Linked DNA regions of Coturnix japonica. The protein of the gene in region 4 purifies or fractionates together with the protein of the main gene of each other region. This does not show direct contact. Links are inferred from orthologs where the notes say so. Each region holds a gene or a part of one and is shown on either strand. Other genes may lie near its edges.

Evidence for each region.
Region 1: the proteins of E2F6 (region 4) and MGA purify together in Homo sapiens (affinity purification with mass spectrometry; 3 studies listed by BioGRID and IntAct, counting the BioPlex papers as one, with this or other methods). This does not show direct contact. The link is inferred for Coturnix japonica from reciprocal best matches to the Homo sapiens genes E2F6 and MGA.
Region 2: the proteins of E2F6 (region 4) and YAF2 purify together in Homo sapiens (affinity purification with mass spectrometry; 4 studies listed by BioGRID and IntAct, counting the BioPlex papers as one, with this or other methods). This does not show direct contact. The link is inferred for Coturnix japonica from reciprocal best matches to the Homo sapiens genes E2F6 and YAF2.
Region 3: the proteins of E2F6 (region 4) and CBX3 purify together in Homo sapiens (affinity purification with mass spectrometry; 4 studies listed by BioGRID and IntAct, with this or other methods). This does not show direct contact. The link is inferred for Coturnix japonica from reciprocal best matches to the Homo sapiens genes E2F6 and CBX3.
Region 5: the proteins of E2F6 (region 4) and L3MBTL2 purify together in Homo sapiens (affinity purification with mass spectrometry; 5 studies listed by BioGRID and IntAct, counting the BioPlex papers as one, with this or other methods). This does not show direct contact. The link is inferred for Coturnix japonica from reciprocal best matches to the Homo sapiens genes E2F6 and L3MBTL2.

The regions. Positions count from the first base shown.
Region 1 is NC_029520.1:22,373,087-22,376,601, forward strand, and holds part of MGA (MAX gene-associated protein), read left to right. Parts: intron 1-4; coding exon 5-133; intron 134-1,257; coding exon 1,258-1,356; intron 1,357-2,267; coding exon 2,268-2,917; intron 2,918-3,515. UniProt on the Homo sapiens protein: Functions as a dual-specificity transcription factor, regulating the expression of both MAX-network and T-box family target genes. Functions as a repressor or an activator.
Region 2 is NC_029516.1:26,706,517-26,710,737, reverse strand, and holds the start of YAF2 (YY1-associated factor 2), read left to right. Parts: upstream 1-1,411; 5' UTR 1,412-1,589; coding exon 1,590-1,615; intron 1,616-1,744; coding exon 1,745-1,870; intron 1,871-4,221. UniProt on the Homo sapiens protein: Binds to MYC and inhibits MYC-mediated transactivation. Also binds to MYCN and enhances MYCN-dependent transcriptional activation. Increases calpain 2-mediated proteolysis of YY1 in vitro.
Region 3 is NC_029517.1:29,457,682-29,461,196, reverse strand, and holds part of CBX3 (chromobox protein homolog 3), read right to left. Parts: intron 1,177-3,515; coding exon 1,034-1,176; intron 1-1,033.
Region 4 is NC_029518.1:88,734,196-88,738,414, forward strand, and holds the start of E2F6 (transcription factor E2F6), read right to left. Parts: upstream 2,815-4,219; 5' UTR 2,578-2,814; coding exon 2,512-2,577; intron 1-2,511. UniProt on the Homo sapiens protein: Inhibitor of E2F-dependent transcription. Binds DNA cooperatively with DP proteins through the E2 recognition site, 5'-TTTC[CG]CGC-3'. Has a preference for the 5'-TTTCCCGC-3' E2F recognition site.
Region 5 is NC_029516.1:45,382,149-45,385,333, reverse strand, and holds the end of L3MBTL2 (lethal(3)malignant brain tumor-like protein 2), read left to right. Parts: intron 1-554; coding exon 555-620; intron 621-1,553; coding exon 1,554-1,676; intron 1,677-1,898; coding exon 1,899-2,008; 3' UTR 2,009-2,673; downstream 2,674-3,185. UniProt on the Homo sapiens protein: Putative Polycomb group (PcG) protein. PcG proteins maintain the transcriptionally repressive state of genes, probably via a modification of chromatin, rendering it heritably changed in its expressibility.

The DNA.
Region 1 (3,515 bases), on a different chromosome or scaffold from region 4:
GCAGTGGGATTGAAGTTAAATTCTGTGGATCCAACAATGAGCATTGACTTGAAATACTTGGGTGTGCAGCTTCCCCTTTCCTACTCAAATTATTCTTTGTGGAGCTATCCAGGAACAAACCCCAATTCTCCAGGTGAGTGGAACACAAATCTGCTTGATTGAAAGTATTACATTGTATAGTCGATGATCAGAGGGATTCGGGACGTGATGCTGTTCAGAGGTAGTATTCTTTTTCCTTAGGGCAGGGATATTCAACTTTCCAAAAGCCCATAAACAAAACACTGTAAAAAGCATTTAACGTTTTATTTGATTAGGTTTTTGTTGTTGGGTTTTTTGTTTGTTTTGTTTCTTTTTTTCCCCACAAAGCTTTTGATGAAATATGCTTTTAAAATTACAACTTCTTGTGTTAATTTATTTGGTATCCCAACAAATGCAGTTTCTCATTAAGATATGACTGATTCTACTACTGGTAAAATACTGTTTTTTTAACAGTAAACTTGTTAGCTAAACAAAGCACAGGGTGGTTAATTCCAGTGTCTCTCTTGCTTCAGTATTCTGACTGCTGTTGTTTTCTCCCTGTACTGATTTTGGAGCTGGTAAAGTGGCAGTCCTTGTGTCCCAGACTTGTGTATACCACAAAAGAGGCTCATTCAATTCAGAGCACCCTAGTCCAGCTCTGTGTCAAGGGCAATTACTTCTAGACTAGCAATATATAAAACAGCTACAAAGGATCCTGTTAATATATCCACATTACACTTCAGCACTCAGAGATCGTGGATCATTTGACAGAGCTGTCACTGTTTAACTTTTGTGATTATTCTGTCTCTATGCTTCACAGATATTCTGTTGAATTTGACAGAACAGCAAACATTAAATGTAGTTCCTACAGGTCACTCAGATTCATTAGCTAAACTGTGAATGAGAAGCACAACTTACTTTCCCCATTCAGCTCAAAACTTACTTGTCCCGTTTTAGCCTGTTTGCATTTGGAAAGCAACTGCTTGCATTATTGCTAAGGGAAGAAGGGTGAAACTGGAGAGGATATTTTATGTGTAGGATAGAGGAATGCATAGTTACATGATAATTGTCCTGGATGCCTGGCTTTGTTACTTATTCCCTTAATTAGGGAAAAAAGGCACCTTATTCTGCCTTTTGATCTATTAGAGTGCATGCATCTCTGAAAATAAATAAACAATTCACTAGGATATTTATGTCAATCTTGATTTACAAACTGAGGCTGGCTTTCTTCTTTTCCAGATACTGGATTTCCTTTTGTTTCAAGAACAGGAAAGACAAATGATTTCAGGAAGATCAAAGGCTGGCGGGGGAAGCTTCATGGTGCTTCTAGAAATGAAGGTAGAAGAAACAGAATGGGATTAAAATAAAAGTGATGAGACGAGTGCAGATATTTTTATGACCTTTTTTCTTAATCTTGGAGAGATTTTGCAATTCAGTTTTAGTGTGTATTTTAATGGGAGAATTATTTTTGTTTTGGGATTCTCTTGAATATTGCTACTACTTCCATGAACAGCCAAGAATGAGCGGTTATAAGGGGAAAAGAGAAACTGAAAATAATAAAAAGAACAGAATCAACAAAAAACATATTCTATTATACACAGAAGGTTTCAGTGAAAATCAAAGTGGTATTGGTTTTGGTTTTGTTCATCTGGTTTAACCTGGGGAACAGTGTGGTAAGTCCAGGCTTCTGTTGCCCTAGAGACTTCACAATGATTTTCTTTTAGATTGGATGTATTTTTAACTCTAGATAGGTGAATATTTCTACATATTCAACTCTTTGCCCTGCCACAGAGAGAAATGAGTATTCAGCAGTTTGCCAGGTCATGTTTGGAAATTAGGTGAAATATTTCTACTGTACTCTCTGCATTTGAATACAGTGTTGTGTCAGGGTATTACGGATTTATTCTGCTGTTGCCAGATACATGTGGGATACGTATTTAGGGCAAACGAAAGTAAGCTGCACAGAAGCACTGACTGTTGAAGACTTTCTCTTTTTATGAATGTACATGCTTGTAAAATTTCTACAAAAAGAGTTGTTCAGACTGCTGGCTGTGTTTGAGATTGAGTTATATTTGATATTTGTGTGTTGTATTCTTAAAGTAATTACATACTTCTTTAAAGAAGTATTTAGCTCTTCTATACTGTTGAGTTGTAGTAAGATTTAAACATATGTATATATATATATATAAGATAAAAGCTTGTCAGCATGCTTTCCCAGGGGCCAGGTAAAATGCCCTTCATTTATTTAGGTGGAGGTTCAGAAGGTTCCTTGAAGAATCGCTCAGCATTCTGCAGTGACAAGCTGGATGAGTACCTGGAAAATGAAGGGAAGCTGATGGAAACGAGTATGGGATTCTCTTCTAGCACGCCCACTTCCCCTGTGGTCTATCAGCTTCCCACCAAGAGCACTAGCTACGTGCGAACACTAGACAGTGTTTTGAAGAAACAATCTACCGTAATTCCATCCACATCTCACACCTTCAAGCCTGCTTCTCTGTCATCTACCTCTAGGAAGACAAGGACTCAAAACAGACAAACATCTTCAAACAGCAGAGGGAGATCATCCTACAAGCCTATACTGCCTTCACCTTTTCCTGCCAAGCAGAAACAGAACCTTTCAGCATCAGTGGAAAAGGCTGCTAAGTCTCTCTCAAGTAGCAGTTCGAGTAACCAAGCAGATGGTCTCCTGATACCAAATCTGGATGAAAGCGTACTGCCAAAACAAATAAGTTTGCGCCATGTGCCACAACAGCAACAAGCATCTCGTCCGCCAGGTTTGTCTAAATCTCAAGTGAAGCTAATGGACTTGGAAGACTGTGCTCTCTGGGATGGCAAACCACGAACCTACATTACAGAAGAACGAGCAGATATCTCTCTGGCTACCCTGCTTACGGCTCAGGTAGGTAGCACTATTTTTCATTCTGTCTTTCAGTACTGTTGCTTTTTCAATTGTCTGTAGTTACTGAAGCTGCCTGTAGATGCAGAAAATGAGACTGAAGCTACTTATGAGCATGACAAAACACGATCTTCCTTTGTGTTGCAGCCTTTGTATTGGAAGTTCAGATCTGCTGTCTTAACAGTATGTGAAAATGCTAACTGTATTAGTAACGTGTTGATAGGAATCATTAATTGTTTATTATCTCAATTTCCCTGTTAAAAGTTGATGGGTACAGTTGCTATTCCATAACTGCACCTCCTTACTATTTGACACTTTTTTTTTTTTTTTCAATAGGGCTAACTCAAAGAAACAAAAAAGACATCGTGTAACTTTGATGTCAGCTGATAAACTCTTTTGCTTTCTTCATCACCCACTTCATAGAGAGGCTGTTTAGCTGTCTTAAATTGCATCTCAGAATATTAAAACATAAACTCTCCTCTATTGTATTTTTTTCCATACGTGTGACAGATTTTCATAGATAACCAGACCATGTAGTAGGAGGGAGTTATTATTCTGAATGAACTTAGAATAGCAATTTCACTTGCACTTGATTTCATCT
Region 2 (4,221 bases), on a different chromosome or scaffold from region 4:
CATACAAATAGATGAAAGAAATTGCAATAGAGGAAGAAAGGAGCAGGCAAGGCAGATAAAGGGAAAACAAGCAGCTAGGGAGTGGAAAATGACAACACTGGTAACAGGATGCAAATGCAGGAGGAAATGAGGATTAACAACCGAACACAAGTAGGAAATACTATGCAGCCTTCAAATTGCTTGCATCCAGGATCACAGGAGCGATGCAGAAAACTGCAGCCTGTACAAGTGTTAGTACTTAAGCATTAGTACTTTTACATACATGTAGATGTTCCACATAATGGATCTTTCATTGCTTCTACAAGAAGATGTCAAGCCCTTTACCCACGTTTTCCACTCCTTCATCACTTCCCAATATTTCTAGCTGAAATTCTTTACAAACTTTGCCTTCGGAAACGAGAAGTTTCTCTATTATCCACTCGCTAAATTTCTAAAGATGCCCCAACAACTCCAGCTGTGCTTGTTCACACACTCGGGTGAATCACCCCTTGGGGCACGTTTTGTTCTCAAAACCCCGCCGTTCCTACGCAAAGGCGATGCAGCAAAACCAGCTGTGGTCACTGCGATGCTGACCACCTCATTGTCTGCTCGCACTCTGCCATCTACCTGTACCGAACCGCCTTTGTTACACACTCCGGACATGTGCTCTTTGTTCTGTTTGCGCAGCATCCTGCAAAATGGCACCCTGCCCTGTGCCCGGGGCTGCTGCGTGCGGAGATAGCGCAGGTACACGACCGCTGTGCGCCACAGCACACAGCACACAGCAGTGTTTGAAGCGCAGTACTGCACATGGATACAGGCAGCATCGTGGGGCGGACAGGCCGGGTCGCACCGGAGGTTTCTAAGCAGAACCCCACTTAGCGCTCGGTTGGTTCCGCACAGCTCGGCCTGCACGGTATCTTCGGGAGCAGAGCGAAGCAGGATTACCACGGGAAAAGCCCGTTCCTAAGGGCAGAGCTGCACGGGCTGTACAAACACCTCACCTCTCTCTCGGAGGCCGTACCCCGGGCTCAGCCCTTCTGCAGGCGGCCGAGGGCTGCTCTCCACACCGACTGACGGCGGCCCGGCCCCGCACAGCCGCGCTCTGCCCGGCAGCGGCCTCCGCCCCGCGCTGGGCCTCTGCGAGCCGAACGCCGCGGCCCCGTTCCCGTCAGCCGGACAATGGCCGCAGGACGCCCCGCCGCTGCCGGCCCCGGGCACGGCCGCGCCGCCTCCTCTCCCCTGTCGTCTCCTCTCGTCTCCTTTCCCCTCCCCTACGGCCGCCCCCAGCAGCCCCCGCGTTGCCCCGGTCCCGCCGCCTCCCGGCCCGCAGCGCCCGATCCCCGGCGCTCTCCAGCCGCGAACCTGCCGCCGTGCGCGGCCCGCCGGGCTCCGCGGCCTGCGGGCGGCCGCTGGTTGGCGGCGGGGGGACACGTGAGGGAGGAGGGGGCAGCGGCGGCGGCAGGAGTTTCCCCGACAGCTGGAGGTTGCGGCGGTGGCTCCTCCTCCGCGGGTCCCCGTTAGAGGCGAGAGACCCCCGCGCTCCTCCTTATTGACAAATACACAAAGGGCCGCGCCGGGGCCGGGCCGGGGACGCGTGTGGAGGCGGCATGGGAGACAAGAAGAGCCCGACCAGGTAGGGCAGCGCCGCCGCCTTCCCGGGGCCCGCTCGGGTGCGCGGGGCCGGCGGCGATGGCGCCCGGGGGGGGGGCCGGTGTCGGGCGGCGCGCCCCGACCGTGCCCCGCGTGTGCTGTGTCTCCGCAGGCCGAAGCGGCAGCCGAAACCCTCCTCGGACGAGGGCTACTGGGACTGCAGCGTCTGCACCTTCCGCAACAGCGCCGAGGCCTTCAAGTGCATGATGTGCGACGTGAGAAAGGGCACCTCCACACGGTGAGTCCCCGCCGGCGGCCCCCGGTTCGCGAGGCGGCGGCCCTGACGGTAGCGGGGCCGCGTTCGGCGGGGGGGGGAACCGGGCCGGGCCGGGGGGTTCCCTCCCCACAGCGATCCGTGCACCAGCGGCGTCCCACGAGGAGCTGCTCTATGCCAGCCGTCAGAAGGTGCACGGTGACCTACCTGCTCCCTGCCCCTCCTGACACCGGGCCAGCGGGGGCTTCACACGGCCAGCGGGAGTGCTGGCCGGGGAGAGCATTATTAAAGGATCCTTTGTTAGTGTATGGAGCTTATGGCTTAATGCTGTCAGCCGGAGAAGTTTGAGTGGCAATAAAAGTTGCGATCCTATGATGAGCAGCAATTGCGTTTTAGATAGCATTCATAACAGCGCTGAATGTGACTCGCAGCAAACGTTACACATTTGTAAGTGCAGATGCGTGGTGAGAATGATGCGTCTCTATTTCTGAAGTTGATTTCCTGGAGTTCTGCGAACTGGAGCATGTGTCGGAAGTGCTCATAACTTCAGCTTCGAATATGTATATGTGTATATCATAAATAAGGCAATCAGTGAGGTAAATGTGCCGAGAGGAATTGCATCTGTCACATACAGCGTGCTTTCCAGCGATAAGTGTGGCGTTCTGTTGTATCGCAGGTAGATGTGCTCCAGCTGGTCACGTTCAGCAAAATAAAGGGATGATTGTAAGTTTGGGAAGGCAGCACGGCTGGAGGCTGCAGCCATCCTCAGCCTCCGGCCAGTCTGATAGACAAAGTGACTTCAGATTCCACTGATCCTGAAACTCAGTTGATGAAAGCACTAAGACGAAACAAACAATCAAGCAGGTCCTGAGATACCTGTGTCACCATTGCTTTTTTCCCCCTCCTTCTTGAATACTTTATAGGTTTTGGACTGTGACATAAATTGAACGTATTTTAGGAACGATTATTTTTTCTTTCCTCTTTCTCCCTCACAGCGTTGTGATATGCAGAGTTTTAGCTGATACCGTCATTTTTATTTCTCTGCTTAAACTCTGAAGTGATGGGGTTTGTGGATGTCATTTTCCCATTCAGTTTAAATGGGTCATGTTTTCATGTAGGTGCAAAGTCTGGGGTTATCAGATAGATGTTGGGGGGTGGGGTGGGCTCGAATGGGCAGTTTTAGGTCCAGCTCTGAGCTGAGATGTGAGCTGGTGAGTAGACCTTTGTATCTATGGAGAGAAGAATCCTTAGGGTGCCAAGGAGACACAAAAGGCTGTTTGGGTGGATTGATTGATTGATTGATTTAAAGGAAATGAAGTCCAAGGCACCAAATTGGGGCCCTATTAAACCATTTAGTCGTACCACCCTTAGAATTAGACATTTTTGTTGGCGTTGTTCACAGTCACAATACCGTGCAGTTCTGATGGCACTGGGAATGTTGGGGGATTTTTTTGTCTTCCATTTTGAATCTTAATGTTTGTATGTATGAAGCCGATGCCTCAGCACAGTTCTTAAGTGTGCATTGGTTCTTACTTCCAAATTCCTGCTTTTTTCTTCTTTAAATCAATGAAATCTATGTCTACTAGACATAGTAGCCCCTATGTGATGTAAGCAGTGATGTAAAGCACCTTTTTTTAGTTCAGAGAAATCTGTTTCTTTGTGATGAACTGTTTGATGTCTGCTTCTGAGTGTTAAAATTCTCTAAATGTGAACAGATTTGCAGATAGAGAACCAGGCAATCACAGTCAAGTGAAATGCTTTTGAAGGCCACTGCAAATTAGGTTAAGTTGATTGTAACTCGCGTGTTTTTATGCTAATTGTGTACAATTAATTTCACAGAATCTTACTCAGGTGCAAATTTAGAGTCAGATTTATGTGTGTTTTTACTGTTGAACCATTTTCCTCTCTCCAGAAGAATAACCTTTGATGCTAAGGGCAACATATGGATTATGAACTTTAAAACTGGTGGCGTTGTTAAGGGTAGTGGGAATAATTCTTACGACTCCTCAGTCATATTTTATTATACTTCTGGAGGGAGCTCTCAGTCATGGACTTGAATTAACTTGTTCCATGGTAGTGTCACCGTGGATGATTAAACCAGGTTGTTCTTGGACAGGAGACATCCAAGAGAAATCCTGGATGCAGCAAGAAGGGACATAACAGACTCCCAAGGTGGCACTGTTTTCTTTGGGTTTATAATGAACCAGTGCCCAGCATGGAGCCAGTTAGATGTGCTGTGAGTCAGGTGGGAAGCTGACATCCCATCTGCCGGTTGGAAATCCCTGTGTGTTTTGCTGTTTGCTCGACTGAAGACCTAAATTTTCCTGTAGACATGGCTTTCTTATTTACTTTCTAGACTAAATTGTTCTGTATCG
Region 3 (3,515 bases), on a different chromosome or scaffold from region 4:
TTAGATTAGATATCAGGGAAATCTCTTCACTGAGAGAGAGGTGATGCACTGGCACAGCTGCCCAGAGAAGCTGTGGATGTTCCATCCCTGGAGGAACTCAAGGCCAGGTTGGATAGGGCCCTGGGCAACCTGAGCTAATGGGCATCAGCCCACCCATGGCAGGGGGCTGGAACTGTGTGGACCCTGAAGTCCTTTCCAACTCAAACCATGCTAATAGTCTGTAATTATATGGAAAAAAATAAAAGGCTCCATATCCAGAGCTGGGTATTGCAACTGTTCTAGAGAGTATGTATTCTGTTAAATAACATTTTACGCCGTCCATGAACGTTCCATCCAACAATCAAGCACCTCATCTGAAGCCCTCAGCCACTAATACTGCCACAGCGCTACTTCACAAAGAGGATGCCCACCCATTATTTTCAGTTACCAAAACTTTAAGGTGCTAGAATGCAGAAGGCTGCTTTGGGAGATGTGTATATGTAACTACTAATGTTAAAATGCTAGGTTTTAACATCCAATGCATCCCCTTTTCTTAGCTGATGCAAGCACTCAGAAAGAGGCTGAAAAATACCTTTTTGATACGTCTAAGAGCAACTCAAAAAAGCAAAGAACCCCCCAACCTCCTCAAATTCACTGCTTCAGTGCTGCCTACTGTTTATAGCCCTGCAAACTTTATTTCTCAGAAATAACATTCATTCCTCTGCATATGAAAGTATACCTATTTTATGACAACTATCAGTCTAACATACCTTGCTTGATATTGACACAAGCTACATCAAAGAGCAGTGGCAAAAGAACAATCACTGAGGGCTTTGTATGAGTTTTGGAACGTGACCAAGCACAAACCCTAAGCTACCTATCTTCAGTTTTATTGTCATACTCGCCTGCCCCACTTGAATAGACATTTATGCTGTCCTTCCCTTTCAGCTCTTTCAAGTGTATCCCCACCATCCAATCCCCCATCCACACAGTTATTTCAAATAAATGGTTAATATTTAGCATTGTACCAGAAAAAATAATGGTAATGCCTTACTCTGTAAATCCTTTCCACTTCAAGTAGTATTCCACCTTTCCATTCACAACACGTCTGTCCAGGACTTTCTCCACAACAAATTCTTCAGGCTCTGCCTCTTCAACTTTTTTACCTTTGCCATTTTGTTTCTTTCCCATTTTGTGCTACAAAAGAAATTCAGAATGCCATTATTCATTCTTTTGCTTTTACATCGTTACTTCACTGGCCAAATCCAACTTTGCTCAGTAAACAGCAAGGAATCATGTATTTATTCACACTAGAGCCAGAAGCTCAGACTCGTTTCACATTAGTGCATGAGGTCGGGTAACCTGAGCAAGACATGGTCATATTTTGGGTTGGTTTTGGTTGTTTTTTTTCAGCCACTTAATGATATACCCAACACAGAACACCAGTTTTTATTAAGGTGAAATATCTTTGTCCATACACTCAGTGCCTCCACTCCCCTTAGAAATTTAATTCTCAGAGTGCTACATGCTCAATATTTTTATCAAGCTTCTATATGTTAACTCCGTGCCTGTGAAAAGGCGGAGGGCAAGAAACAGCATGAGGCAGAAGTAAAGAAAAGTAATAAGGGAAAATGCATCAAACAGAAAAGGGGTGCTAATAATAATAATAAAAATAAAATAATAACAATAAAAAATAAGGTGGTTACTGCCTTTTCCAAAAAAAAAAAAAAAAAGGCTGATGGGAGCAAAGTTTACAATGCAGTGCTACCATAAACAGAATATTCAATGATAATCGATAATTATTGAACAGGATGCATGCCAGGAGCAGCAAACTACTGCAGTCCTTTCCCACTATCAGCCACGCACCCATGTAACTAACATTCAAAGGGATGGCAGAAAGGTGCAAACGTTAAGACAGCTACACTTAAGGTACAGCACTTAACATGTCATTAAACTCTTGCTAATTTACAAATCAAGTGTTTTAAGTTGACATTCGATATACTTTAAATAATATTCTTCAAAGTTCTTAAAAGAAATATTACATCCACATCATCCTCAAGGCATTCCCAGTTTAATAAGGCACAACTCAATATTGATAGAAGGACACCTTTCAGAATTTCCTTGTTTGCAATCTGGAAAAGGTCAGGACGTGTCTAGAATCTTGTCGTATCCCATTATCTGGAGCACCAACGGACCAAAAACGGTCTGATGGCCATTTTGGATTGCTCCTTATAGGAAAAATTGTTCAAATGGCAGCCATAAATTAATGGGGACAGTATAAAGCTCTGAGAGCGTACAGTCATGCAGCACCTTAAAGCAGACAAAGCTACTTCCTCACTAATGCGCTTCCTACACGACAGAAGCAGGCAAGCAGAAGTCATGGAGCACCTGCATTTACTTCATGGCACTTTTCTAGTCCTCTCTAGACTGAACGTGGGTTAGTTTGAGCGTATTGCGAAGCCATTTTGAAACTGATTTTGAGATTTTGCAGGATTATTTCTCAGTGTGGTAAAAGGAAGGGGAAAAAGTGTCTGTCAGATGCAAAGAAAACTCTTGTTTTTCACAAAGCGAAGAAGCTGAGCTGTCTTTCCAAGCCTATCTGTTGTGTTCTTCCTTTTGTTTCTGCATTAACTTCTCCCCCAGACACCCTTACTTTTGTTAGCAAGCCACGAATTGAAGGTGCAAGAAAGCAAAGATGAGGAAAAGGTTCAAGTTCCCCCTTCAAACAGTGAGTTTCCACATATGGTTACATCTCGTGCGACACTTGTTTGGAGTTGGGAATAGAAAAGAGATTATTTAAAACAGAGCACGTATTTCTATTTTGGTAATAACTACCTGCACGTCCCAGGTGTATTTTGAACCCAGTATTTATGTCTGAGAAGTACCAACCACACTGGCTTTTTTTTGCCTCCACAGGGGGAAAAAAAAAAGAATGCAGGACTGGAAGTAAATGAACACAAACATATGAAAACATCCAACTTGTCTATGAAGGCTGCTGACTGCAATAAATGAAAGCATTATAAAGAGAAATGAGATGAAGAAAACAGGGAGGGGTGGGTGGGGGGCGGGAAAGGAGAAAAGACTCACTATACCATGCTAACAACATTCTAATTACTGGTGTTGAGACAGGTGGGCTACAAGTGGAACATCTCCATCTGTGCTCTCCACTGGACTAAAATCCCTTTGGTTCAATGGAAGGCTGTTTTCTGATACCTGTTCTCAGCTTTGGTCATTCTCATCACCTCAATGTTTTGGATCTCTGTATCAAATTAATGTCTATTTAAAAGAAACACCAACTCTCTAGGATTGTAGGTATCTACAGAATCTTCCACAGAAGAAAATGAGTATTACAGGATCTGATCCTTTATCTCAAAGGCCAGTAAGCAACAACAAAGTCAAGGTTGCGTTGCTTTTTGCTCTAAGTATTAAAGGTTTCACTACATCTTCTGGTTAACGCTACTTTCCAAGCACTTCCTCAGCCTATTTAACCCACTCAAATAATATCTGACAGCAGAGCCTGAAGAAACACTGAAGAA
Region 4 (4,219 bases):
AAGAACAGTAGTTGCAATTAGTCGTGGGTTGCTGTGGCTTAAAATGCTCCTTCAGTTACGTGTCTTAACACATGTGCCACTTTTGACAGATGGCTGATGGCTGCACTCAAGTTTATCACCATCCTTCCTGTATCGGTCAGTCCCAAATGAGACACAGCACTCCAGAATCACAGAATTGGTTGGAAGGGACCTCTAGAGATCATCAAGTCCAACCCCCCTGCCAAAGCAGGCTCCCTACACCATGTCACACAGGTAGGCATGCAGGCGGGTCTTAAATATCTCCAGAGAAGGAGACTCCACCACCTCCCTGGGCAGCCTGTTCCAGTGCTCCATCACCTGCACTGTAAAGAAGTTCTTCCACACATTCGTGCGGAACTTCCTATGCTGTACTTTCATCCCATTACCCCTAGTCCTATCCCCATGCACTGCTGAAAAGAGACCAGCCTCACCACTATGGCTCCCACACCCACAGAAGCAAATACTTGACAAGCAAAGGAGAACTGCATACACCTCAGTGCAGGATATACCGATATCTCATGTTTAGCCCACTGTCCATACAGATTCTCAGGTCAGGACAGGACTCTTCAGCAGGATAATTCCATAACATCTCACTTCCCAGCCTTTACCACATCAAGTTACACTTCCAGGTATAGGATTCAGACTTAATTTTCAAATTCCTTGTTCAAGTTGATCATCTCCTTGATGATCCATCCCTCCAGCCTATTCCCAGAGGTTTCTAACATCTCCAGCCTTATCTGTGTCTGCTTTCACTAAACCACTTCTTCCCCTTAGCAGCAAATTCACATTTTCCTTCACTCACCCTTCCTTGGCAGTTAAAAAGCTCCAGTCACCCTCGATGATGTCCTTACAGGCCTCCACCCCTTCATCTTTCCAAGCTGCCTCTCCCAATATTTCAGTGATGTGTTGCCTGAATAAGCTGAGTCCCGAAGTCTGCTCTCCCAAAGTCCCAAAGCACGTGCTGTGCCAGGGGAGGTTCAAGTTCAATACCAGAAAATGTTTGTTTTTTTTCTTGGAAAGAGTGGTGATCCATTGGAAAAGGCTACCAAGGGAGGTGGTACAGTCACCATCCAGCACAGCCACTCAGCCCTTCCCCACGCCTTGCACTCAGTCCCCACAGCACGCTGCAGACATACAAGCAGGTGGAGCTCTTGCTACATACCTCATGGACAGCACAGGAGCAGACCTGAGCTAGATGACCAGGTTAACTTGGTGCTTAACATCACCAGAGTCTGATGAGAGGCTGATTGCAAATAGTGCACTCAGGTCTGAGAAAATACCTGAGAGGGAGAGAGCCCTGGACAACAGGGCACTGTAAAGAGTCTCTGTTGCCCTATGGTGTCCTGGGAGCACCCTATAGAATCTATAGGGCCCCAATTCCTCCGTTACAGCATTTACGGGATCTCTATGGGAAATGGTTTTAAGTTAAAAGAAGGAAGATTTAGGTTGGATGTTAGGGGGAAGTTCTTCACTAGGAGAGTGGTTAGGTCCTGGAACAGGCTGCCCAGGGAGGTTGTGGATGCCCCGTCCTTGGAGGTGTTCAAGACCAGGTTGGACGGGGCCCTGGGCAACCTGATCTAGTAAAGGTGTATGTTTGGCGGCCCTGCCAGGCAGGGGGGTTGGAACTACATGATCCTTGAGGTCCCTTCCAACCTGGGTCATTCTGTGATTCTGTGTGATTCTATGCTCCTATACTCCTGAATGCTCCCCCCACAAAGGCTCTAGAAGGCCCTGGGATCCCCCCTACAGGGCCCAGAACACAAACCCAACCCACAAGGCCTATAACACCTCTATAAGCCTCACGAGGCCACTCTGCCTCACAGCTCCCCATAGGCCTCGGCTGCCGATGCCACTTTCCGACCATCCTTCGCTGCCTTCCCAGCTTCGGTCCCAGCTTCACCACCTCCTCCTTGTCCTTCCCAATGGCCCCCAGCAGCTCTGTCTCCTCTTTCTAGTTCTGCATTTTTTGTTTTTGGCACCGTGTCAACTTGTTCTTTGTAAAGAGACAGAACCGAAACTGTTTTCTCTTTTAAAACAGCTTTTTAAGGGATTACATTTCATCACGTTCCAGATTTTAGCGCTTAAAATGTACTGGGTCTCTATTAAGTCCACCACTCAACTCTCTGCAGTCATATGTACCCATTAATTAGAAGCACTGGTGGTGAAGCACTCCTATTTTGGCTGGGAAACCAAGTTTTAAATCAAACCTCTCCACTCTACCCGTAAAGAGACAGGGGGGTTGGAACTACATGATCCTTGAGGTCCCTTCCAACCCGGCTCATTCTGTGATTCTGTGTGATTCTATAAAGAGCTACATTAGAAAAGCTCTATCCTGACGTCCTCCCGCTCCCAGCAACCCGCAGCGCCGTCCCTCCCCACACACCCCTCCCTCCCTCCGCAGCAGGATCCAAGCCCCAACCCAGCCCATCCCAGCCCCGCCCTCTGGCCGTTCCCAGGCTGTATTTCCATCCCTATTCCCCGCCCGCTCCGTACCGCGCTCAGACGCAGCGTGTCCGGCCGCAGCGGCCTCAGGCGCTCCCACTTGGAGGCGGCGGCCATGTTGGCGCGCCCCCTCCTCTTCCTCCTTCACGCCGGCGGCGGACTTCGATGAGACGGCAGAGCACTCAAAACCCTACCCGATGTTGCTGGGGGCCCGTGCGGGATAAAGGCGCCTCCATCCCCGCCCCACCTCCGGGTGGAGGGGGTGCCGGGGCCGCCTGGGCTCAGCGCTGCGGCCGCTCCTACCCTCCCCCACCTGTGGGCGGCCGGGCGGCGGATGGAGCGTTTGCGCATGCGCGCACCTGGCCAAGGTGACGCAAAGGCCGAGCACCAATCCGGTGCCGCGGGGATTTCCCGCTCTCTCGCAGCGGAAGCGCCGTGTGCATCGTTACCTCAGTGCCCTCATCACTGAGCGCTGTGTGGGGGTCAATGGAACAGGCTGCACAGGGGGATGGACGAAAGACTCAACATGAGCCAGCAGTGCGCTCTGGGAGCCCGGAAAGCAAATGGGATCCTGGGCTCCATCAGGAGAGGGGTGGTCAGCAGGGATAAGGAGGTGATTGTCCCTCTCTACTCGGCTCTTGTGAGGCCCCATCTGTTGTACTGTGTCCAGGTGTGGAGCCCTCAGTACAAGAAAGACATGGAGATTTTGTTAAGGGTCCAGAGGAGGGCCACAAAGATGATCAGGGGGCTCCAGCACCTCCCCTATGAGGACAGGCTGAGGGAGTTGGGTTTGTTCAGCCTGGAGAAGAGAAGGTTGCGGGGTGACCTCATTGCAGCCTTTCAATACCTGAAGGGAACTTACTCCCAGGAGGGGAGTAAACTCTTGGAAAGGGCTGATAATAGCAGGACACGGGGAAATGGTTTTAAGTTAAAAGAGGGAAGATTTAGGTTGGATGTTAGGGGGAAGTTCTTCACTAGGAGAGTGGTTAGGCCCTGGAACAGGCTGCCCAGTGAGGTTGTGGATGCCCCGTCCTTGGAGGTGTTCAAGGCCAGGTTGGACGGGGCCCTGGGCAACCTGATCTAGTAAAGGTGTATGTTTGGTGGCCCTGCCAGGCAGGGGGGTTGGAACTACATGATCCTTGAGGTCCCTTCCAACCCGGGTCATTCTGTGATTCTGTGTGCTTCTGTGACACATCACTGATACCTAAAAACACACACTTTCTTACGGGCAACATAATGCTCTCTAAGTATTCAATAGCAGAAAGTACAGTCCAATAAGGAATGAAGATTATCCTCTTGCTGTTATACTCAACTGGAGGCATATCTTCTCCAATTGGATCGATTTTCGACCCACCACCAGAGGGCGGTCATTCCATTTGCTGAATGGGATGTTTTAACATTCATATAACCTACAACAATGATTTCGTTAAAATTTTCTGGTTTCAAATGCAGTCTCCCCTTAAATGAAATCTTGCAGCTGGGCTTTCCTGTAGATGCATGTGTGCAATTGCAAAGATGAGCCAAAGCTAATATTGTCCTGAAAAAGTGAATAAGTATGAAAGCATTAAAGACAAATTATACATGTAAGTATCATATGGATGCAAGTATCTGTCTATATTTTTGTATATCACAGAATCACACAGAATCACAGAATGACCCGGGTTGGAAGGGACCTCAAGAATCATGTAGTTCCAACCCCCCTGCCTGGCAGGGCCACCAAACATACACCTTTACTAGATCAGGTTGCCCAGGGCCCCGT
Region 5 (3,185 bases), on a different chromosome or scaffold from region 4:
GGTTTGAGGTTGGCTCAGGTTCCCCTCAGCATCCCCACCTGCACACCAACAGAGAGCTGCTCGTGCTGAAGTTGGGTAGAGTTCAGGTGGTCCTGTCCCTGCACATCTCCCTCTTAGTAAGCACACTACAGCCTCAGCCAGGTAGCAGGGGCACCTCAGCTATTGCACCTTTATCATTTCTCTGACTGTGAAAGGTAAGAGTGTCCCTCTGAAGAGTTTATTCCTTTCCTTGTCACAGGGAGGCCATTGCCTCACCTCTGCAGATTATTTCCTTCTGCATCCAAGCTACAGATCTCATTTTTTTTGCCTGTCCCTGCCCAACATGCACTAGGCCTCTCTCCCCTGTGCTGCCTCAGCCTGCCACCCTGTGCCCTCACGTGGAAGCACAGACAACGGCTGCACTATGGCCTTGCTTTCCCCTCAGCCAGTTGTCTCGGGAAGAGGGCGCTGACTCGGGGGGATGGGTATATCTTGTTTCTCGCTTATATCACTTGATCCCAGTTACCTACTGGTTATGGGACTTGGCTTTCGTTTCCCTCTCATCTCTATGGCAGAGCTCACAACTCCAGCGAAGGCCAAGGAGGTGCCCAAGAAGAGGAAGAAACCCTATGGAAAGAAGAGTGAGTGATGTTTGACTAGTGCCCTCCCGCTCGCTCGCAGGCTGGGCCCAGTTAGAGGAACCCTGTCTATGATCTGTCAGAGCAGGAGAGAGAGGCCTCGTCTTGCTGTGTTTGCTCTCAGTCAGCTCTGGGTGTGACAGCTCAGCTTCATCCTTCTTACTCGCCCCCATTATCCAAGAGCAGAGCGCTGTGTGTGTGTGAGAAGGCTCTCACAGTCTTTTCTGTTGGCTGAGGTACAAGTGGTGCTTGTTTCCAGGCGTGAGGTGTGCTGCTTTCCTACCATGTCTGTGGTAAGAGGGAGATTCTTGGCCGCAGCTGGAGGGCAGCCAGAGAGCAGCCCTGGCTGCTTTGTGCTGAAGGAAAGAAAGCCTTAAGATGGCTGAAGAGGCCAGTAGTGGGGCTGGACCATGTCACTGTTCTACCTTGTCCTTGTTGCTATCACTGTTGCAGTAGGTGTGGCAAGTAATGCATAGACAGGCAAGGAGTTCCTTTCTGGGGGGTGGAGAGCAATGGACATCTAAAGAGTATAAAGACACTGAACTTAAATAAAAACATGAGCTAAAAATTAAACTATCAATGCTACGCAGTCCATGCCCTGGAGTCACCATGCCCATTTCCTAGGGCTAGACCCAGACAGGTAAGCAAAGCTTTAATGGACTCCAGCAGGACCACCTCCTGGGAATGTATCACATGCTAAAGTCCTTTATTTCTATTGAAGGACAATGTGGAGGAGCATATGCTGAGGTGATGAATGTAGAGTTCTTCTTCAGCAGCTCCTTTTCTTTTGAGTAACCAGTTGGCAGCCAGTGATGGTGTAATTTGCTGGTTGGTTGAGCTGGTCCTTGGCCTGTGGCTTCTCAGTGGAGCTGGGGTGATGATTTACTGGGGGAAAGAAGTGCACATTTTCCTATGTTTTGTTATCTCTTTCTTAAGGAAAAAAGTTACCTGCCAAAACCCACACCATCAAGCAGACAGTCAAGAAGCCTCCCGCATCACGGATAAAAAGAGAAGCAAAAGCTTCCAGCAAAGCTTTGCCAGATCTGGCACCTGATGAGAGTAAGGGAATGAGTTACTTTACCTTGTAGCCATGTGCAGCTCTGGTGCTGGGGAAGGGGGTTGGGTGAGGTGCTTGGTGTGTGTTGGGGTGAAGCCTCAGAAGGGTTCCAGTTGCTCATAAAGGCTTAATTTCCCCTTTGTGTGGACCCAGAGAGATAGAAGGTGGACCGCGCTGGCTTTCCCTGTATTTATTTCCCCTTCTCTCTTTCTGTCCATTGCTAGTCATTGCCGTGCAGGTGAAAGAAGAAACCATCGACCCCTCAGAGGCAGTGTTTGATACTACAGAGCTTCCCGTTCCTATCAGCAGCATAAAGCAGGAAGACACAGACTGACCTTGGAGCGTCCTGCGGTTGCCTCGCCTCAATTGTGGCCCTCTGGGAAAGGTCCTGTCAGTGGGAAGTAGAAGACTTAGAGGGGCCTTCTCTTGTGGCAGGTCACCCTGCATCATCACATCTCTGCTTTCTTGGTGAGCAGGAAGGTTGCCCCTAGGCCTGCAACTTTAAGCCTTAGCAAATAGACTCCAGAAAAGCCCCAGGCTTGCAGAGGAGCGCGAATAGGGTGGGTGCTGCGTGCAGCAGTTTGTTCCCAGCCCCAGAGGCGTCTTTCTGAGCTGAAACCCCTGATGGGGAAAGGCTGCCAAAGGGCAGTCTGGGCTCTCAGCTGCGGCTGGAGGTGTCAAACTTGTGATGTGAGATGATGTGTGCGGGTCACATGTGTCAGGGAATGGGCTGCCATGCTGTGCTCCCTGGGTGCAGCTGCTGCCTTCGGGAAGGGCAGGAGAGGAAGAGTGGAAGGGGTGAAAAATGGAAGAGAAAGGACAATGCCTCTTGAGTGAGCAAGAGACCTTGTTGTGTATCATCACTTCTTGCTTTGGAACCCAGAACTGCAGCGTGCGTGGTGCACAGTTTGAGGTTTTTATTTTTTAGTAGTCCTACTGTAAATCTTGATCAACAATCTGTATCCTGAGGCCCTATGGATTAAATGAAGGAAGAAGTCAGAGGTTTGTGTCATGTTCTCCAGAATACCAGGCCTACCCAGACTGGGGAGAAAAACTAATCAGAAAGGTCAGTGTGGCAACAGAGGTGAAGAAGCTTTCTAAGAGTTCCTGTGAGCTTTGTACAGGTGGGGAAGTGCCTGCCCTGCCCGTGGTGCTGTGGGCCCTGCCTGGCTGCAGCACATCTGCCTTGTTAAATGCTGCAGGTTGTGCAGGGCAGTGTCTTAGTCACAAAATGGCTGCCCTGGCCCTGCTCCCCTCTCCAGTTTCTGCTCCCCAGCCCTGAGTCTATCCAGCTTGCATTAGATGCAGGGGGATCCCATTCCAAGGCAAAAGCAGAATGTTTCCTCTCATCCCCTCCCAGCGGTGCCAGCCCATGGACTGTTGCAGGGAATAGGTCAGGTGTGCTGCTTAGGAATGGGATGGGTGAACCATGGATCAAATTGTGCAAAAAGGAGAAAGATTTCAATCTGCTTTTGTTTTAATTCTAAGGAGCAGCTGGGATTTCAGGCAGT